Bombyx mori: one gene and its partner. The main gene of each other region encodes a partner of the protein of the gene in region 2 in a complex. Links are inferred from orthologs where the notes say so. Each region holds a gene or a part of one and is shown on either strand. Other genes may lie near its edges.

The links.
Region 1: protein Red (region 2) and microfibrillar-associated protein 1 share a complex: the UniProt entries of both Homo sapiens proteins name them as parts of the spliceosome B complex. The link is inferred for Bombyx mori from reciprocal best matches to the Homo sapiens genes IK and MFAP1.

What each region holds. Positions count from the first base shown.
Region 1 is NC_085127.1:8,420,812-8,423,381, forward strand, and holds part of microfibrillar-associated protein 1, read right to left. Parts: intron 1,946-2,570; coding exon 1,821-1,945; intron 340-1,820; coding exon 196-339; intron 48-195; coding exon 1-47. UniProt on the Homo sapiens protein: Involved in pre-mRNA splicing as a component of the spliceosome.
Region 2 is NC_085122.1:6,721,916-6,725,577, forward strand, and holds part of protein Red, read left to right. Parts: coding exon 1-226; intron 227-1,166; coding exon 1,167-1,314; intron 1,315-2,267; coding exon 2,268-2,471; intron 2,472-3,662. UniProt on the Homo sapiens protein: Involved in pre-mRNA splicing as a component of the spliceosome. Auxiliary spliceosomal protein that regulates selection of alternative splice sites in a small set of target pre-mRNA species. Required for normal mitotic cell cycle progression.

The DNA.
Region 1 (2,570 bases), on a different chromosome or scaffold from region 2:
AGTCCTGTTTGAAAACATCTTCTTCTTTATCCAAATAAAAGGCACCTCTAAAATTAGAAAATATAATCGTTATTAATTTTAATAGTTTTCACACTAAGCAAGTTTTTATGCTTCAAATTTTATGGTTAATAACTTTAATAATTTTCTTATTAAGCAAAATTATTTTTAATACAATTTTTAAAGTATGAATTTTACCTGTGATAATATTTCTGCAGAAACTTGTATTTTCCTTTGACTGCTTTATTTGTGACAACCTTTGGATTGATACGTTGTTCGAGGCGTCGCTCATCTTCGGTCATGTTGCGTAATCGTTCCAGAGTTAACATCTCTTTTTCGGCTCTGAAATAAAAATGAAAATGTTACACTGACTAAAAATCGACGGCCACTAAAATACATTAAAAATGTTTAATACTGACTAAAACTTTAGTCTCTTTAATATAACATTATTCGTTGTGAAACTTTAACATAGTTAATTTTATTAAAATTCCGAGACTGAATTCTTTAATCGTGCGATCTAAAAAATAAATTGTGATTTCAAATAACAATCACTGATAGAAAATCATTATCAGCTGCAGTCCTGACACGGGATTGACTAAATACATCAGCTGCAGTCTGAGATAATTTAGGCCAGAATAACATCTACGTGGATAAAATCTTAGCATATCTCAGCCTATCAGCATAACATCTACTTCACACAATCAAAACCCAAAACGTGGAACTCATATTTGAAATATGAGACGACTATTAATTTTAAAACAGAGTGAAGCATAAGTCTTGTACTAACTACATATGAGTCGTCTATTATCAAAGGCGGCAATCTGTACATTTGGACAAAAAATTTTTATTGATATGTCAATACAGATTTATTTGAATATAATCGTCTCCTTCAAAGAATACGGTTCAAAACCTGCATTAAATAAAGGTTAATAGTTAACCTGTTATTTATCTAAGATGTCGTTCCGAAGAGTTTTGTGACTGCCAATGGAATACAAAGTCAATAATTCGTTTTTCTGATTTACCAATCATTGTCCAAAAGTCAGATTGCCGGCTTTGATAATAGTCGACTCATATATACCATGGGTTAATAATAATACTCGGCAAATCTAAGGACCTCAGATTCTCACTTAGTAACTTAGCTTTTATTGCTCTAGCCAGGCACACTAGCTCTACCTACTGTAATGTTCAGAGAATACTGCTTCCCATCTTACAGTATATCTCTTAAAGGCCTTTGACGACATTGCGTATTGATGGTGAATACTGTTCTACCGTATAGCAGATACAGTTGAATTAACCTACAGTGTGCGCGCGAGTTCGTGTCCATCGGGGCCAGAGGTGACGCGCGGGGGGCAGCTCGCCCCGCCTCCGTCCGCCTCCCCGCGTTTGTCTGACGTTTAGTGTTGTCTTTGACAGTTGTGACGCGCGCTTATCGATATCAAAAATTTACGCTAACGCTATTGTGTTATTTCATGGTGAATAAACTACGACTACTTCGCTTCCAACAAGTTCAGGTAGAAAAAAACCTACACTGATTCGGACTCTGATCTGTCGGTTATCTTTTCATCTGATAGTAATTGAATTGGAATTTAAAAAATATTTTTCTCTATTAGAAATAAATAAGTAATTACTTACCACATTTATTTTATAATTTGCAAAATGACCTAGTTACAATAAACCAAATTGACAGCTATTGACTAAATCGGTAGTTATTATCGACACCATAATTAACTAGGTCACAGCACTACCGCATTCCTCAGGACGGACATGAACTCGCGCGCCTACTGTAGAAGAAAATAGCTTCCAAATGAATAATTTTAACTTACGCTTCCCTTTCTTCTTTATCTCGTTTGATACGTTTCATTTCACGCAACTTCCAAGCTTCATATTCCAGTTCGTCATTTTCATCATCTGTACATACATCATTTATATTCCCTTCTTTTTGTTCTCCCTAAAAGTATGTTTAAAAGATTGAAATTGTGAAGAATAAAAACAGTGTGAAAAATATTTGTTTTATTCGTAATTTCGCATCACTATTAATCAACGTTTTTATAAGAAAATATAAATCATCTAAAACTTCAGCAGTCAACAGACTATTGATGCATAATATACTTTTTTTTTATTGCCCTTGTAGGCATACCAGCATACGGCCCCCTTGATGAGTATTTACCGTCGCCCATGGACTGGGCCAGCAATGTCAGGGGCAGAACCCCGGCTGCTGCCTACTGAACCACCTGCCTTCTCCTAATACTTTGATATTAAGTGAAGCATCAATACACCACATTTATATACGTTCATATGTAAACAACATGTTTAAGACTTTATATACAAGGTTATGTTAGAGGAAGTCTGAAAGTGGCACCTGTGACAGAGAAGCTGAGGAGTGCACGTTTGGGATGGTATGGACATGTGATGAGACGGAATGAAAATGAGGTTGTTATGAGAGTGTTAACTATGAATGTGGAAGGATTTAGAGGAAGAGGTAGACCTAAGAAGAAATGGATGGATTGTGTGAAAGACGATATGGGTAGGAGGGGAGTGAGCGAAGAAATGGTATATGATAGAAGAGTATGGAA
Region 2 (3,662 bases):
CAGCGAAATGTTTGCTCCCGGTCGTATGGCGTACGTGGTCGAGCTCGACGAAGAAGGCACAATCGATTCCGATATACCCACAACGTTGACTCGGAGTAAAGCGGACGTTCCCGAAATGGACGAAAGGAGTTCGGCTTCGAGTGCAAATGATCTTGTCGTCGAGAAACTGACTCAGATCTTCTCATATTTGAGGCACGGAAGACATAAGAAGCTGAAGAAGACTAAGGTTCCGTTTTTTTTCACTAATATCAGTTTTTTCGACCCAAATTAGTCATCAATTAATAGTTACTGGTGGTAGGACCTCTTGTAAGTCCGCACGGGTAGGTACCACCACCCTGCCTATTTCTGCCGTGAAGCAGTAATGCGTTTCGGTTTCAAAGGCGGGGCAGTCGTTATAACTATACTGAGACCTTAGAACTCTCAAGGTGGGTGGCGCATTTACATTGTAGATGTCTATGGGCTCCAGTAACCACTTAACACCACGTCGACTGTGAGCTCGTCCACAACACAATTACCCACTGAGTTTCTCGCCTGATCATTTCAGTGGGTCGCAATTCTGATCTTCTAGTAGATTCTCCACTGCTCTGGTTAGCAATTCTCTCAGGTTGAGCCCGTGAGCTCACCTACCCGTCCCGTCCGGACGTAGCTAGAATAGACTCTTAGGCTACCGGCGTATAGTTAGGACAAAACAAGGTAGATATAAATCGATGCTTATTTACTGAAATAAGTTTAAATACTTGCATCGTATAAGTGGTATTGTATTACGTTGGATGCGCTTACTAAAACAAGAAAATAAATCGAAATCCCTTCTTTTTTCTCCTACCTATGCTGATAGCCTTGAGAGGCTATTTTAGCTTCTCCTTGACGTGTGGGTGAGCTCACGGGGCTCAAATCGGGAGTGTTGTTAACACTGGCCCTACCAAGAGCAATACTTCGCAGAATCTTCGCACTAAGAAAATCCTGCAAGAAACTCAGTGGGCTGTGTCTATGGGTTAATTTACTCGTCGAGCCCTTCGTCGAAAGCGAGGGGCTCTACGAAGACGATGACCAGTGCTTGAAATACCTAAAAGCACCGTTAATGGATCGGGAGGATACGTAATGACGTGTTTAGGGCTGAAATCCCTATTACTTCTTCACACTGTTTATCAGGAAATCTTTTGTAACAGGACAAGACGACGGAGAAGGGTCGTAACGACGACTCTATATACGGCGAGATTGGTGACTACATGCCGGGAGAACGCCGCTCCGACAGGAGGGAGGAGAGGCCGCGAACCGGATACTTTGATAAGCCTGTTGAAACCGAGAAGGAAGAGGGTAACCATTTTGATTTTTATAAACAACTAGACGTACTCGCCCGCTTCGCTTGACATTTAAAATTAAAATTATTTATTGTCATTACTAGCTGACCCGGCAGACTTCGTAGTGCCTCAATCGATAAATAAAAGACCTAAACTTTTGTATAAAATAAACTTAAAACAAACAAAATGAATCCGTCCGACGGGGGACACATCAAAGAAAAAACAAAATTGTTATTTTTATTTAATTCCGAGCATTTTCATATTTATCTACCTTTTAAACCTTCTCTGGACTTCCACAAATAATTCAAAACTAAAATTAACCAAATTGGTCCAGTCGGTGGGACGAAGGCGTAGCGAAGGCGCGTTTTTATAGTGTAGCGTTGTTTCCAGGTCGCGGGAGAGCCTGGACACGATAATAATAGTATAATGTATATTTAAGGCCGTCAGCGCAGAAGTCGCCTAACCCGCAATTTTCATATTCGTGTTTATACTCTACTGCAATTTATTTAAAACATAAATACATTTTGATGCAAAACCGGCCTACCCATAGTTTCACACATAGATAACAGATGGATTTGTAAATATTATTTTTGCGCGTATTGTTTTTGCCTACAAAGCAGTGTAAAAGTTAATTCCAACCTCTTACTTTATTGCAGTTTCTTTCCTTTTTTTTTAAACCATAACATTTTGTTAGTACGAATTACTTATAATCTATGTTAGTAACTTAAAAAATCTAACACATAAGTATAATTACATACGTTTTTATATATTTTTTCCTTTCATTTGCCTGCTGCAAAGGCTATTAATCAGCAGTCCCCCTCGATCTTGCTCGATATGATTTTCAAAAGACTGTTGCCACTGTCACGGACTCGACGCAATAACGAGGCACTTCTCTTCCGCATCATCTCCATGTGAACTATGGTAAGCCTAGGCCACTTCTGCTCTGACAGCCTCGTTTATATTCCGCAGGCCCGATCCCTCGTCGTCAAGCAACAGGCAATAACGAAGAGCGCGACAAACGTTCCGCGGCGCTGCTGTCCAAGCTGGCGGCTGAGCCCGAGGGCTACGCCGAGTGCTACCCCGGCCTCAGGGAGATGGACGACGCCATAGACGACTCCGACGATGAAGTCGACTACACCAAAATGGACGCCGGGAACAAGAAGGGACCGATCGGTATGAACCTTATAAATCTTGCTATAGCTTCCCTAGAACTATATAAGTAACTAGCTGACCCGGCAGACTTCGTAGTGCCTCAGTCGATAAATAAAAAACCTAAACTTTTGTATAAAATAAACTTAATTTGTATAAAAACAAAACAAAAGGAATCCATCCGACAGGGGACATATCAAAGGAAAAACAAAGTTGTTTGTTTTTATATAATATCGAGCATTTTCATATATATTCACATTTTCAACCTTCTCTGGACTTCCACGAATAATTCAAGATCAAAATTAGCCAAATAGGTCCAGCCGTTCTCGAGTTTTAGCGAGACTAACGAACAGCAATTAATTTTTATATATATAGATAGATAGATAAGTAGTTATATAGAAGTAAAAAAAGGACATACAAAAGCACGCTCATTTAAATCTGAACGATGTTTAGTAATTGTTTTTGTTGATAGAATAAAAGAAATATAATCGAACAACGCCCAAAGAATTTTAACACTCAATCACAACGTATGACGTCATACGTGGCTAATCGTTGTGTTGTAATCGTTATCATTATAGGATTATCTTTTTACTTACTGAATCTCCGTATTTTTAACAATAACAACTATCTGCTTCCTGGATCTCTGTTCACAACATGGCATATGTAGAAAAACTAATGTTTACGTATACATTTGCTTTCGATCTATATATTCGCGCGTCTCTCATCCAATTTGTTAAGGCGCTGAGTCAAAAAACGTTTTAGCCTAAATACCATCAACATACAATGGGTCTGTGTAGATTAGTTTTAATAGATGAGCGGTCTACGTACATTCCGATCAGGATTTTACTGTTAGTGTAACTTCTTACTTCTTAGTCGAATACTTCATTGCTGAAGGTCGTGTCCTTGAAAGCTCTTCGTGGCTCTTTGTACCCTCAGCTTCCATTTGCTTCGGTTTTCGGCTTCTCTCAGGGCGTTGGTAACAGCTAGTGTAACGCGACCCTATAATTTTTTACTGGTGGAAGGACCTCTTGTGAGTCCACACGGGTAGGTACCACTACCCTGCCTATTTCTGCCATGAAGCAGTAATGCATTTCGGTTTAAAGGGTGGGGTAGCCGTTGTAACTATACTGAGACCTTAAAAAATCTCAAGGTGGGTGGCGGCGCATTTACGTTGTAGACGTCTATGGGCTCCAGTGACAACTTGAAGCCAGGTGG